2 linked regions of the Diceros bicornis minor genome follow. The protein of the gene in region 1 interacts with the protein of each later gene in a pairwise test. Links are inferred from orthologs where the notes say so. Each region holds a gene or a part of one and is shown on either strand. Other genes may lie near its edges.

Region 1 (8,003 bases):
GACAAAGGACAGGATCTCTGTGAAAACGAAGTCGAGATGGAATGCTGCGAAATGCCAAGCTGACTGCAATTCAGGTCTTCTCAACATGCTGGTGGGAAACTTCAACCAGCCCACAACACTACTACCTGGCACCTTCCTTCCAACAGGTTATTATTGACCCTCAACATCCCCAGGGAAAAACAAAAGGCTTAAAATTGCTAATTTCATATAATGGGATAATTAAGTCCCCCCAAAAGTTGTGATTAAAAAAAAAGTTCCTGATACATAAGCCATGAACATATTAAGATCAGTGTAAGATGAGGGACCCTGAGCCACATTCATAAAGTAACTTGGGCTTAGAATAAACCTGCATGGTCAGCACTGACTCAAAACCAGAGTGAGAAGACAAGAAATGGTGACTCCAAGCCTATTTCCTGAAAAGGAAGCAAAGGGGATACTGAACCCTCAGTGTCATTCCCTTAAGTTCTCAATAGCTGGGATCTAAAATGTTACATCAGGAACATATTCTCTGGCTACAACCCACGCTGACCACAAACAAGCATGCAATTTAAAAGGCAGTGAGAATTTACAACTTTCTTCACATAGGATTAACAGGTTTGGGACATCTGAAGTGGCCCAGAGAAATCACAATTGCTCAGTCTTGGCTCTTTAGCTTATATTGCTTTAGAGAGAGCAGCTAAGCTTCAGATAGAGGATGCCCATAATTCAACCAAGGTGACTAACAATGGTTCCTCCCTACTAAGTAGGCTGAGGCAGGTGTGTGTTTTAATCATCCTGATTCATTCAACCCAGGCTAAGAAATAGGTATGCCTTAACTTAAGGCCTGACAACTGGTTCACTAGTGATTTTAAAAAGTTTTGAAATTTGTCCACCTTTAAGTCTATATTTTGGCTTAAGTTAAGCTTTTAAGTCATTTGTCTCCGGGTAAGACAGTAAACCCCACCACCTGAATTAAGTCTTCATTTAGGGCCCTGGATTTCCTTGCCTGGGCATGGAGAGGTCAGTGACTCCATTCTTCAGACAATGGGACTTCATGGCCTCTAAACTCTTCCGTAAGTTTTCATAAGTTGGTTTGTGTGAAGCCCTTTTCTTTGTAATCTGAGTACAAAGAACAAATTCAAACTTCTGTTAATCCAAAATGATAGCCAAAGAAAAACCATCACATTCTCCCAACATCCTGATAATTAAGTATATTTTTATAGAATAGTCTAGAGCAAGGATGACAAATGTCATAGACTGTCCCTTCCAGTTATGTGAGGCCCTCAGGAAAATCCACTAAATAGGGCCTGAGAAACCCAGACACTGCCATGTAATACTCTTTCCTTCTCCCAATAAGCCCAGGAGATTAGCAGGCTATGCCTATTGTCTAGTGTTTTTAAGCAAGGTAGGTGCAAGCCTTTGTGCCACTTCCAAGAGAGAAGCTGCATATCTGTAAGAACCCATACCACCTGAAAATTTCCTGTTAAGTCTATTTATTTAGAAACTGTGCTTGCTTGCTTTTTGTTTCTCTATAAGAGAACAGAGAAACTGGTAGCATTCCAAACCAGAAGTCCCATCGGCCTTAAAGACAGCATTCAAAGGGGCTAGGACATGTCCCCACTCAGCCTGCTATCCAAATCAGGCTTATAGTGAACTGGCTGTATGTCACCCAGCACCATCACCAAGAAACCACACTCTTTCTGGGGCTGAAGACCACTTGGACAGTGGAAAAATCCCATTGAGGCAGCAGGTGGGAAAGGAGCTGAGTATTACCTGGATTTGATAGGGAAGAATGAGAGAGAAACCTCCTTGGACAATCTGTCTCTTGAGACACTACTGTTTCTCTCTCACCATGATTAGGAAGGAATTAAGTACGGAAGGCATCCCTAACTTCTGCAAGTCTTAGAACCCAGGCCTTTGGCGGATGTCACGGTACTCTTTCCATGGAGCTGGGATGCAGCCTCATGTTCTTTCTAATCCAGTGCTCCAAACAGCCACCACCACTGGATCGAGATCAGAAGCTTTTGACATCCTTGGCTCGTCTAGACTGGAACATCACGATCAACACAATTGCAGTACAGCCCATTTGTTCACCAATCCTTAGAGCGTACTGAGAATCAGCCCCGTCTTACCAAGTAATATATATATCGCCCATCTCTCTTCAGCACAGCCACTTCTCCAGATTTCTTTTCTAAGAAAAACAGGTATTTAATAGCAGAAAGAAAAAAGAAAACCAAAACACTGATCTCCACTCTTAGATTTTTAAAAAATCTTTACAAATCTGAGTTTACCTCAGGAGAAATAATTTTCAACTCTGAAGAAACCTGCTGTCTCCTACGAACATTTTGCTCCTTATCGCCTTCCTAAATACTATATTCGTTAACTTCCAGCTTTCTTAATCGTTTTCCTCTCACCCCATCTTTTCTCCTGCCCCTATTTTCAAATACATCCTTATTTCTTCACTAAAGAAACTTTTATGTCTACTGCTTTGAAATGTTTTAGAATGTACAGCATTTTTTACTTGCCAAATGTGTATTCATTCAATAATCATCTTTTTTACATACAAAAAGCTAACACGTTAAGCATTATGGGGAAACAGAGGTATAAAAGAGTTCCTAATTAAACAGTTTTCAATCAAGAGTAGGTGTCATGTTTACAAATAACTACAATACAAAGCAGTAAGAAATTGCTCTTTTAAAGGCTGGGGTCAGAATCATCAGTGGAAACTGACTCCGTAAGCCTGGACTGTGGTCTGAGCAACTGTTTCAGAAGCTCCACAAGTGATGTGAATACACATCTCCGGTTTAAAACCATTGGTAGAAAAGTGATGGGAGGGTGTGTATAGGAAGAGGAGGTTTCTAAACTCCTCTTGGAAGAATAAGTACAATGTGGATGAAGAGAGAATCTTGAATGCCAAGCTAACACCTGTGGACTTTGCTAAGCACTTCAGAGTTATTAAAGGTTTCAGAGAAGTGGAGTAATATTATCAAGAAAGTTTTATGACAGAGGAGGAAGAGATTAGAAACTTTTACAATTCAGATTTGATGTGATAAGGACTCAGACTAGAGGCCATTTCTGTAGAGGAAACAATCTGAAGAGTTAAAAGTACTCAGCGATTAGGAACTCCCTCTTTGCATGTATATTTTGTTTAATAATTAAAGTATAACAGGAGGTCAAGAGATGCTCTAGCTAGGGCAGCAGACTTAAGCTGTTTTCAAAACTCACGTTGATTTATCAGTTCCTGCACTCCTCCAAATTTCTTCTTGAAGAGGACAGCTATCCCAGCACCCATTCGACAATCCTCACTGATACAGTGCGCTAAAGAGTCTGTTTTGGGGCATGCAAAGAGGTCTCCTTTCACATAAGTGATCTAAAACGTGCAAAAGGAAAGAAAATGTTTTATTAGATTCAAAAAAATATTAAGCTATTTCTCTCATTTTCCTTTACTGTGTCCCCCACTCCCTCTCCTCCCCTGCCCCTCCTTGATTTAAAGCCAAATCCTCAGAATTTAATTTAAGGAGTTAACGACCACGAATTAAAGCACGTGTAAAAGGCAAGAGCTGGATGGTCTCTGCCTAGCACTGTATTAGCCTTTCAGAAGTAAATCAGCTGGAAAGAGAAAAAAAAAAGGCAATTCAATTATTGCTTTAATTAAAAAGTGTTTATGCATTTGACCTCAATCTTTCTGAACTTCAGTTCAGCAATAAGTTAATAGTTGTTACGCACTCTGCTTCCTTCAGGATCTTCATTAGGGCTGCCGGCCATGATACTGAGTGGCTATTTCCAGAATGTGTTTCTTCAGCTATGAGAAGGAAAAGGAAGCTAGGATGCTTAGGCAGCCTGAACATATTATACATTCAGATTGCCCCGACCACGCACTTAATAATTTTCCCCCCCAACGTTTATCGCTGAATTTGAGTGCGTTCGGCCTCTAGAAAGTAACACAAAACTCTCTGGTGCAAGCAGCAGCAGCCTGCCTCCCGAGCCACGCCTCCTCCCTTCTCCCGCCCGAGCCAGGCGGGTTTAGGACAATCTCCTTTTTCCTGCACCGCGCACAAGCATTTCCCCAGTGGATCTGGCCTAGAAGCAAAAAGGAATGACCTGGCCACAGTCCCCTTAAGCCGCAACGAGGGAGTGCACCGGCCGGGGGGAGTGTCCCGCCGAGCCGCAAGCAGGGGACGGGGAAGGCTCACCTCCTCTTTTTTTGGGGGGAAGGAGTCTAGAGAACCTCCCCTTTTCCTACCCCAAGGCGGGTCAGCGAGGGCGTGGGGCCTGTCCTGGAGTCCCGCGGGAGGGAGCGAGGAGGCTCGCCCAGAGTCCCAACGTCCCGCGATTACCCTTCACCTGAAAAGGAGGCGGCCGTTAGGAGTCCCGCCCCGCGGGGAAGGGCTCCGGATCCGGCCCTGGTAGGTGGGGAGCGGGGGACGAGCCCAGACGCGGGACCAATCCCGCCACAGCCTTTAATTGCGCGCGCCTAAGATGGCCGCCCAACCCCGGGAGCGGGGCGGAAACGAGCCCCTCTAGCTAACTAGCCGAACCTCCACTCTTTGGTCGTGGCCGCCGAACTTCCGGCGGTAAATTCCGCGGAGTCTCCCGCCGCCGCCCGGGCATGCGTAACGACACAGCCCACCGCGAACGGGGCAGAACGGCGCTTGCGCATTAGCCCCAGGGGTGTGTCTCCAGTGGCCGCATAGAAGGGGGAGGGCAGTTGGCACAGGAGCTAGTTAGCGCCTGCGTAGTACTATGTTCAGGGCGGTGTTTGAGTCGAAGGGTCTGGCGCTTCCAGAAGGCGCCTGCGTAATCCTTCGGCGGGGGGGTGGTGTCAAATCGGGGAAGTGGGCGTGGCCGCAGGGGACGCCTGCGCAATGCTCCTTCAGGTGGGGGTGGGGCGAGCCCCGAGCAGAGGCTAGTGGGCGTGGTCTCAGAGGCGCCTGCGCGGAGGCGGTTGGAGGGAGGCCCGATTCCCCTTTGTTCGGGTTCGCCATTTTGCGAGGCAGCGGCAGTGGCGGCGGCAGCGGCGGCTGGAGCCTCTGATTGGGTTTCGGGGTCCGGTACTGGAGCCAATCAGCGCGGGCAGCGAACCGGGGGAGCGAAGCACGGTGAGCGTGAGGAGCCAATATCCAGCGGCCCAGAGCCGGCCCCAGCGCCCCGATTGGCGGGTCTCGCTGACCACTCAGGAGAGGCCCAGGCTCCCGTCGAGCCCGGGGAGTCGAGCTGAGCCTCGCCGAGCCGGGCGGCTGGCGGTGCGGCCCCGGAGCCTGCGAGCGCCCCGGGGCACTCCCGGCCGAGGCCTGCAGGGGGCCGCCCCGTGCGGGCATGGCGCCCTCGGGAGCCGGCACCTCGGGGTCCAGACCCCGGCGGGGTGCTGGTGCCGGTTGGGGATGCGTCCTCGTCCCCCGAGACTTAGGCCCAGGGTCTCAGACCCCAGGCTCGGAGTGGTGGGCTTGCCTGCCACGGATGCTCCTCCGCTCCGGCGCACACACGTGCCCGGGGCCTCGGCCGTTTCCTGCCGGTCGGTCGGGCCTCACACTTAAGCCTGCCCTTGCATCTTCCACGCTCCGGTCCTCGGGCCGGGCAGTCCTCCCCGCGGGGCCCGCGTCCCCAGCCCTCCGTGAGCCGCGTCTGCCGTTTGCAGCCCTCTGGGGTCGGGAGGGGGCCCTGGGTAGGACGCACGCGGCGGCCACAGGGCCCCGGGTGCGGCGGGAGAGGGGGCGGGCCCCCCCCGGCGCCCCGCGGGCCCTCCCCGCCGTCTCCCCGGCCGGGGAGGGGTCCGTTAGTGCGCCCACTCCCCTGCCCCGCCGCCCCTCCCGCACGCTCGGCCCGGGTCTTCGGCCCCGCGCCGTTACCACCCCCTTTTGGCTCGTCATTTCCTCTCCTCCCCGCCCCGCTCCCGGGGCAGCACCGCACACCTCCGGCTTGGAGTCCAACCAAGCGGTCTCCGTTTCTCGGCTGGGCTGTAAGGCCAGTCCATTCGGTGCTTGGAACCTCATCGTAGAAGACTGTTAGCCCTGCTCATTCCTTTTCCCGAAGGCTGCACAACCTGCTTTTCATACTAGTGTTACCCACTGCTCGTCTTGTGAACTCTCCCGTCCTTGGGAATGTACAGTTTTTTTCTTTCACCTTTGTGTCGCTTTGAATGTGTAAGGCTTGTCTCTTAGCTCAGTTCATAGCCATGTCTTGGTTTACTTTTTTTCTAATATACTTTCTAATCCCGTGTTAACGTTTTCTTAGCAGATGTTTATAGAAACTTAGTGTTGTGGGGTTTTCGTTAGGGTGGAAGGGACTCTCCATTGACAACCACGTCTCCAGCAGTTAGTATCCAGCGGGCATAGATCTGTGTCCTGGGGAGCAAGTAGGTAGAGGGAAATAAGAACCTTTTCCGCCTGGTGGAGATTGACAGGTGAACAGCTGATTAGTACCTAACGGCTGGTGCTGTAACGGGGCCAAGTTGAGTTCAGTGAAGGACTGATGTGTGAGCTACCAACAGCCTCCGTGGAAGGCTCAACATCGCCACACTTTCGATTGGCCATGAAGGACGATAGTATTTTTTCGGACAGGAAAGAATGGAAGAGCGTTGCTCACAAAGAAAAGAGCAAATTGTGCCGTGCGTTTGAGGCGAAGATAGGATAGGGCAGTGGGCAATGCTGGTGCGAGTTGAGACTGGAAAGCCGAGTTAGTACGAGCATTTGTATATCTTGATGAGGAATTTTGCGGAAGCAGTTATTTTGTGGAGGTTCAGATAGAAGAAATCTAGAAGTATGTTTTTTTCTAAGATTGGAAAAACAAGTTTCTGATTTGTGGGGTTCTGCCCGGTAACAGCAGCTGACTTCTTTGGGGGAAGAGAGGGAGATTTTTCTCCTAGGCCTTGAAAAGTTTTGACTCCTTTGAAGCACCTAGTGCAGTCGCTGGCACACAGAGTAGGTCTTCAGTATATGGTGCCCATTTTTATAATCACGTTTACTAAGATCATACAACTGGTAGGTTTCAGAAAACAACTAGTCCAGTGCTCTCTCTACTTGTCAAACTTTGGAAACAGTTTTTGTTTTCACTTTTTAGAATGTTTTTCATTGTTTAAATCGTTTTCTTAAATTCATTTAATTCTCGCTACATTATCCATATTAAAGGAGAAGCATGTCTTAGATAATTTTTAGAACACTTAGATTTGCCTTTGGAATAGATATTTTAACGTTGGTATTCAAAAACAGGTATATCTGGTCACTTGACAACCATCCAACACTTTCACTAGACTTCTTTCTAGAAGGCAGTTATAGTCTGGTCACTTTTTTGCTGAACACCTCTAGGGCCTCCACCTGTCTGCAAGAAGAACTTCTTTGCCTGGAATTTTGAGAACAGTGGTCTAGCCGCCAGCCTTCTCTTGACATGGGGCCTTTTAGTCTACTGTTCTATGCTGAAATTTTTCTGTCCTTGTTTTTATGCTCTCTCTTCGTTTGGAGTACTCTGCCCCCTCCCACATCATCATATAGTATAAATCCTCCTCACACTTAAGACCAGGTCAGATGTCACGTTTTCCTAAAGCTTTTCTTGATTTTTCTATTCCCAGCAGGAAGAAATCTCTGTCCTCACAGAGAAATCTCTGTTCTCCAAAATCCCGTATTACCTTCTTCCTCTTTTAGGGTTCTAGTACATTTTTACCCCTTCACTAAACTTAAAGACTCTTTGAAGTTAGAATCTTTGTCAGAGTTTTCTTTTTATTTCTGAAACCTTCAGGACAGTGTCTGGCACATCATTAGTGGAGAGGAGGAGCAAATTAGGAACTCCAATCCAGAAACCTCAGACAGTGCAGAAGCTGGACACGCTGTGTTCTCTAATCTTTTATCAAACAGATCAGGACCCATTGGTTGCATTGTGAAATCAATTTAGTGGGCCAATGCTGATATTTTTTTGTAATAAAATAGAAAATATCAAAGTGCATCTTATGTTACATAAAGATAAGTATTCGTGAAACGTTTGTTTCAGTTACTTTTTTTATATGTTGTGTGTGCAGTGATTTGTGATACGAAATG
Region 2 (7,500 bases), on another chromosome or scaffold:
CTATGTTTAAATAAGTCTAGCTTCTATTCCCGTCTTCTTCACACTGTTTTCTCATTGTCCTTAAAAATAACCCTTTTGAAAAAAAAAATTGTTTTATTTTTCCTTTTTTTTTAATGGAAGCAAGTGTTTACACATTTTTATAGTTCCCATTTTCTTAAACAGTAGCATACAAAGAAAACTTTTCTCTACTTTGCTTTTGTCACGTAACACTACATTTTGAAGATCCTTCCATAGTGGTATATAGAGATAGTCCTCATTCCTTGTTACAGCTGCATTGTATTCCATGTACATAAGCACCATAATTTATCTAACCAATCTCCTTATACGCACATGTGGGGGTATTTCCATTCTTTTAGTGTTACAAGAAGTCCCATAATGAATAGTCCTGAGCATACATCTTTTCATATTTTTGCCACTACAGTCATGTGCCGCATAAGGTCGGTTTGATGAAAAATGGGCCGCATATATATGGTGGTCCCATAAGGTTAGTCCCATATAGCCTAGGTGTGTAGTAGGCTATGTCATCTAGGTGTGTGTAAGCACACCCTATGCTGTTTGCACAACAAAATTGCCCAACTAGGCATTTCTCAGAATGTATCCTCATTGTTAAGCAACACATGAGTGTTCTAGGCACAGAGTCCTAGAACTGGTATTGCTGGGTCAATGGCAAATTCATATGTAATTTTGCTAGATATAATCAGGCACATGTGTAACTAAGCAACTTGATGAACTGCAACCGATAAATCAGCATTCAGCTAAGGTGTCTGTATCTCATGATAGCATATAATTACTGTATTTACATACAAAAAGTGGTATACTCATCACTTGAGGTATCAAAATTTGGCCAAAGTTCTTATGGATAAACTAATCATCAATGATTAACAGCATTATTAAAATCTAATGGTAGTGTTCTACAAAGTGAGTTAAAAAGACCTTTCCCCCATTTTGATGTTGTTGATGTAGCTGTTATACACTTACCATAAATAATAAAAACATCCACCAAATACTTATTAAAGCATTTTCTAGTAGCTTTGATCTTCCCAACAATCATATGCAGTGGTTTTTATTCCATCTTATCAACACAGAGAGATTTAGTTACTGCAGAAGGTCACACAGTAAAGTAATGGCAGAGTCAAGCCTGATTCCACAAAGACTGCACTCTGTACACACTAAGTTAATTTGTTTTTGCTAACAAACTCGCTTTTATTTTGGTATACAGAAAATAATTGCAAGTTAGTTGCTGTTTTAAGACATGCAGTAGCAATTTCAAACTATAAGTTAGAAGAGAGGAAGAGAACATTAAAGATTTTTAAAAATCTCCTCCTCATATATATAGAGGTAATTTGTGTGATCAGCAATTTCTTCCTACATATTGCATCAAAAATTACTGCGTGTGGAAATCAACAGTTTTTTTGTAAAGGCCTAAAAATTAACTGAAATCTGAATAGAGCATAATTTTTTTGGTAGGACTGAAATACATCAGTGCTTTTATTATCTTGAATGAATGCTGTAATTATGCACCACTTTACAATAGAAACCTTCATTAGGATTAGTAAGCTTGAGATATAAGATCTTTCCTCTTTACTTTTGTATCCTCCTAAAGTGTCCAATACTATTGAGCATATAAGGGCTGCAAGATCCTTAAATATGCCAGATAATTTGCCTGATTTATTCATTTTACTATTTAAGAACATGGAGGCTGAAGGGAAGTCATATGAGAGTTTAGTTTAAGCTAATTTCCAGAGCAGTCAGTCTTTTTAGATTTTCTTTTTTCTTGGCATTGTTGCTTAAATAGTCATTTGGACAATAAAACATTTAAATGTTTGGACATATAAGGTTTGATGTCATTTTGTTTATGGTAATATTAAAATTTATCCATTGAATTTTTCCTTTTCTTCTTTTGCTTGGCAATTATCCAGTGTTTTGGCAGAATATTAATATTAAAAGAAAGAAGTAACTCTTATTCTCCAATATAAAACATTTTGAAGTAAAAAAAAAAAGATTCATCACAAAGAGAACACTATTATGTATCTGTCTAAGTATACGGCTGTTACAAAGTATGAGTTCACAAACTAAAATTCCAGTATAAACGTTTCCTATATGGTATAAAGAGCCGCTAAAATTAGAAAAGTTCTTTAAGCTTTAGGGCACAAAGAAGAAAAAGTTCAGATAAAAACAATTTAAATATGTTGCTAAATTCAGTCTTACATGGGAGGAGTTTTCTGTTCACAAATTTTCACTTTTGTGAACCAAAGAGCTGTAGCCTCCAAACTATTCAGACCCACTCTTCTGGTGCAAGATCAGAGAATATCTCTTTCTGAAACTAAACTGGTTGGCACACGTATATTGTGATTGACAGCATATTATAGCTAACTGAAGGTTGGAAAACAATAAATTGGAATGGAATCCATGATACTTAGATGCCAGGCATACGGGGGGGGGGGGGGGGGGGGATCTGGGTAAATATTAACCAAGTGTTTAGGCATTGTTGCAATTTAGTGTGTAAAGAGAGAAGTGGACTCAGAGGAGCCTCCTGGGAGTCCGAAGGTCTTAAGGAGCCAGGACTGGGTTTTCTGCCTTTTTAATGCAGTAACTATATCCTATTGTTTCAAAGGTCAGACCCAATCAGGGCATATCTGTCATCAACCCCCTTAGGAATAATTGTGTGGAGAACAAATCTCATAGATTCTTTGCCATGTCCTGTCTGCAGTAGTCTTAATTTTAACGGATAGCAAAACATTTGATCATTTAGTTAAGAATACCCAGTGGTAAGGAAGAAAATAAGGTGGAAGGTGAGGGATTCCACGTGCACACAGTACATACAGGAGGTAACAAGAAGTCTTCTTAAAATAACAAGCAGTGAAATTTACCAGGAATGGTATTGTTTAGTAAAATTTTTCAGGCTCATAGTCACCTGAATATTAAATGAATTACAAATGTGGATGGAATCATAATGTTATATATCAAGAACACTATGATTTCCTGCGAATTTTTTTTTTCTTAAGTGCCCCCAAACAGGCAGCTGTGCAGGGAACTAAGAAGCGAGTGTTAAGAGGATGTTGTTCGATCAGATGGTGTTAAAAGAAATCTCAAGATTAACAGATATTTTCTATACCCATTCACAAACTATCCACAACTTCCCATTTTCTGAGTATTAACGGCCTGCTTTCATTAATCTCTTCCTTCAAGTCCTGGCGGATTGCACCTTTTCCTCTCTCTGGTAGGACGCCTTTGATATTCTTCACATCTGGTTTCAGTGGCATAGAACTTTTGACGTTTTGTTTTGCTTTGCCTTTTAGGATAAACTCCCTCACTTGTCCAGACCACCCATTCCATGTCTCTTGAAATTCCTAGGGACAAGAAAATTAGGTACTGTGACTTCTGCCTTCTAAACAGAGCATTCTCTGTTCTGCGTGAAATGTTGATATAAAGGCGGGATTTGGTGGAGCAGAGCAGGTCAAACGCCTATAGAATTGCACTCCAAGACCTGGACAGTTTCTGCCCGCTCTCTGGCAGCGAGGAGCCGTGTGAGTTGGTTGGCCAAGGTCAAGTATTTCAGATGTTAGTCACTACATGCTGGCTATGTGGAGACACAGAATTTTGGCAGTAGGTTAAAAAAACAGGGAAGGTTATCATGCTGTCATAACCCTGTGGTCGGTGTTTCGTTTTGCTTTTTTTGGCATTTCCACTACTATCAGAAATCATTTAAGTACGTGGGCTGGTAGGGGCCGAACCTTTGGGGAACTTAAATCCAAAGACTTTGTAGCTGTACTTGAGACAAACAACTCAGCCGGTTTTAGGGGTTATTAATTCTGGAATGTGTTAACAGTAGGCCCAAATCAGCATTCATCCCCTTTAGGAACACGTACACAACTTTGCAAGCGAAAGGCCAACCCTCGGCGGAAGGCGCGAACGCCTCAAAGCTCTCAGTCTAAGCCGAGATCACGCTCTGACGTGACTCCGCGTTTAAAACTCTGCCCTGAGTCCAAGCGCGCCAGGGGCCGGAAGCTGGTCCACGTGACTGGTCCTCCTCCGCGGCCATTCCTAACGAGGCAGCCCCCACCGCCCCTTCCACATTTCCTAGCTCCTCCAGCGTGGGACGGCGCAACAACGCCTGAGAGGAGGCGGTCCCAGCAAGCTTTGGACTCGAGTATCACCAAAACTCACGCCTTTCCCGGCAGTGGTTTGCAAGCTCCTCACCCCAAACGAGCCGCCGAACTTCCGCCTGCGTGCCAACCACGTGATCACGCGAGACTTGGGGAGGCAGCGGTCCGACTTCAGTACACCAGACCCCGGGCTCCGCCTGCCCAGCACCCTCCACGGCGCGTGACGACGCGACTCGCGGCGGCCACCGCCCCGGCGCGCCTGCGCACGCGGCTCTCGCGGTGTCTCGCGCTGAGCCCCGCCCACCTGTGCCCCCGCCCTTTCCGCCCCTCCCTCCCCCTCCGCCCTGTCTCTCGGCGGCAGCGGCGGCGGCGGTGGCTCGCGCAGCTCGTTGGCTCGCTATATAAAGGGGAGAAGCGGGCGGACCGGACGGCTGGAGCTGCAGCCGGTGGCGGCAGCGGCGGCGCGGGGAGCGGCGACCGGTGGTGGTTCCCTCCTGGGCGCGGGGTGGGGAGCGGGCAACGCCCCCCGGACCCCCCAAAGGGTCGTGGTTTTTTTTTTTTAAGGGCGATTCTCGAGGTTTTTAGCTCCGGGAGGACTGCCCCCCTCCTCCACCTCCCCCTCTCCTCTCACCGCTCCCCTCTACTCCTTCAGGATCCGATTTTGTTGAAAAATTTTTCCCCCCCATCTTGCGGTGGCTTGGGTCACCCTCTGGGTGTTTCGGTTTTTTCTTTTTCTTTTTTTTGGTTTTGTTTTTCTCTTGTTTTCTCGGGGTTGCTCCCCTCTTGTTTGTGTTGTGTGTGGAAATGGCGAACTCGGCAAATACAAACACCGTGGTAAGGACGTGGTGCGGTGGCCGGCGGGGGCTTCGTCCAGGCGGCAGCAACGGCCGGACCGGGCGGGGGCGGGGACGGCGGCGACTCCCGGCCTCGACTCTCCTCAGCCGCCCGCGCGGCCACCGCCGCCGCCGCTTCCCGCCTCGGGCGGAGCGGGCCGGGGCGCCGGGCGGCGGGCGCGGGGGGGCGCCGAGGGCTCGCGGCGGCGGCGGCGGCGGCGGCGGGAGGGCGGGGGTGCCGGCGGGGCCTGGGGCCGCGGAGGCGGTTGGGCCGGGGCGAGTGCGCGGCCCCGGCCCCAGACCCCGGCCGCCGGGGGGGAGGGCGGGAGGGGAGCCGCCGCTGCCCCCGAAGTGGGCCCGGCCGCGCCGGCTCGAGAAGGGCTCCCCGAGCCGCCTCCAAACAAAAACCGGGTCTGGGGAATTGGGCGAATCCCCAAGACCCACCGCGATCCACTTTCCTGCAGTGGAACGTTGATGGCTACTTCGGGGGGGAACTTGGGGTGTTTCTGGCTGTTGTGCTTAGGGAGCCTTCGCTGGGGCCATTTTATGTTTTTTTTTTTTTTAAAAAAGGACGAAGGTTGAAAAGCACTTATCTCGGTTCCTTCCGAATCGGTAAAATGGCGAAGGGGAAGCAAAACCCCCATCGTATCTTCGACTAGCAAAAGCACCAAAACAAACAAAAAAAAGCCTACAGTGGTCAAAGTGCCCCCGCTTTCGCCTTGCAATTTGCCTACTTCTCCCCGTTCGTCCCTTTTTGGTTACTTGCGATCACGTAGGTTTGCAAAAAGCAGTCACATAAAGAACCTTTTCAGTCACCAACGCAATGTGATCACTCGTCCACCCCACTCTCTTATTTTTATTGTGACAATAAAACACGTTTTTGCCCGGTCCCAAATGCCGCAGACCTGCCCGCGGCCGCCCGACTCCGTACCGTTGGCGACTCGGGTCGATCCATCATGGCTGCGGCCGCTTACCCGGCTTTTCAGTCCCTGAGCCTTGTGGTCCTCCTCCCTTTGGCTGCCCTGTTTATATAGAGCCATTGCCGCTCTCTAATATAGACTCTGCCAGGATGGGAAGGTGCTTTTCAGGCCTACGTCACCGCCTCTCCATTTAAACACCAGATCCGGCTTTAAATAGTGAGAGCTGCTGAGAGCGGGGCTGGGAGGTGCGTGCTCCCGACGCGAGAGGCAGGCGCGTGCAGAGCTCGATTTATTTCTAGGTCCTTTCCTTAGCCTGTCATGTTCGCACCCAACGGGGGCTGCTTTCAGAGCCCCAAGTTTTTGTTGTGGTGCAGCCGCTGGGATTTGCCGTCTTTGTTAGGGGAAAAGAGAATTGCTTTCCTTTTTAGTTTTATTTTTGTTTTTAGAGATAATTTTAGGTCAGATGTCTAATCGTTCTTGTATTACAAGATGCCTACATTATTGTCGGGAATGGAAAAAAAGTGCTTTCTACGTTAACTGTTAGCTGCAAAGGACTTGACTTTGGTAGTATTGTGTTCATCAAGTATTCAGGAAATGTGTTAGAATCTAGCTCCTAATATTTCATTATGTTTTCTTATAATAAATAGCGGAGACACGAAGCTGTTCAAAGAAGTAGATAAGTGCCTGAAGCTTCAACGTAGCACCTATATCCACAGTACATTTCTGTGTAGGGGAATTGTGAGTAATGAAAGTGAGGAGGCTTTAACTGCAAACTGGATTTTAAAAAATTAAAATTCTGAGCAGACAAGGTTTTTATTGAATTGGATATTAGTGTGATATCCAATAGAGAAATTAATCCAGTTTGTTTTCCAGTATTGCATGGGGGACTAACACTTTTGAAAGGAACCTTCTAATGAATCATTAGATAATGCTACTAATGGCCCTTGAAATTACCAGTTTTTAGGTTTGAAATATGTGTTTTTTGAAAACCATGACAAACCTCTTAAATGACTTTTTATTTCGTAAAAGGTAAAAACTTTGGCTCAAGGCAAGTTTAGCATTTTAAATAATAATTTGGAAATTGCGTATTTCAAATAGTGCCTGTGTACCCACATACTTCTAAAAACATCAGGATTTTAAGGGCTTTTCAACTTATGAACAATTCTCTTAAATTATTCTTTTTTTTTTTTTTTTTTTTTTTTGTGAGGCGATCAGCCCTGAGCTAACATCCGCCAATCCTCCTCTTTTTTTGCTGAGGAAGACGGCCCTGGGCTAACATCGGTGCCTATCTTCCTCCACTTTATATGGGACGCCGCCACAGCATGGCTTACCAAGCAGTGCGTCGGTGCGCGCCCGGGATCCGAACCAGCGAACCCCGGGCCGCCGCAGCGGAGCGCGCGCACTTAACCGCTTGCGCCACCGGGCCAGCCCCTTAAATTATTCTTTATGTGTATACTTCATGAAGAATACACATTTCCCTTCTTTCAACTGTAGTGCTTATGAATCCATGAAGTGCTCAAGTTTTGGGTTAATTAAGGCACAAAAGCAAAATCTTATTAAAGCAAGGTTGATACATTAAATAGGGAGTGCCAGAAGGAAAGCACATTTGTTACCTATAAATGTCTAGACCTCCAAGCAGAA

Evidence for each region.
Region 2: the proteins of NFYA (region 1) and GTF2A1 interact in binary tests that used the Homo sapiens proteins (3 or more experiments, as listed by UniProt). The two-hybrid records come from large-scale screens. The link is inferred for Diceros bicornis minor from reciprocal best matches to the Homo sapiens genes NFYA and GTF2A1.

What each region holds. Positions count from the first base shown.
Region 1 is NC_080753.1:24,261,620-24,269,622, reverse strand, and holds the start of NFYA (nuclear transcription factor Y subunit alpha), read left to right. Parts: upstream 1-4,988; 5' UTR 4,989-5,078; exon of another isoform or gene 5,079-5,629; intron 5,630-8,003. Other genes in the region: ADP-ribose glycohydrolase OARD1, read right to left, coding at 986-1,098, 2,112-2,170, 3,205-3,349, 3,706-3,744. UniProt on the Homo sapiens protein: Component of the sequence-specific heterotrimeric transcription factor (NF-Y) which specifically recognizes a 5'-CCAAT-3' box motif found in the promoters of its target genes.
Region 2 is NC_080763.1:28,584,998-28,592,497, reverse strand, and holds the start of GTF2A1 (transcription initiation factor IIA subunit 1), read left to right. Parts: upstream 1-4,490; 5' UTR 4,491-4,910; coding exon 4,911-4,940; intron 4,941-7,500. UniProt on the Homo sapiens protein: TFIIA is a component of the transcription machinery of RNA polymerase II and plays an important role in transcriptional activation. TFIIA in a complex with TBP mediates transcriptional activity.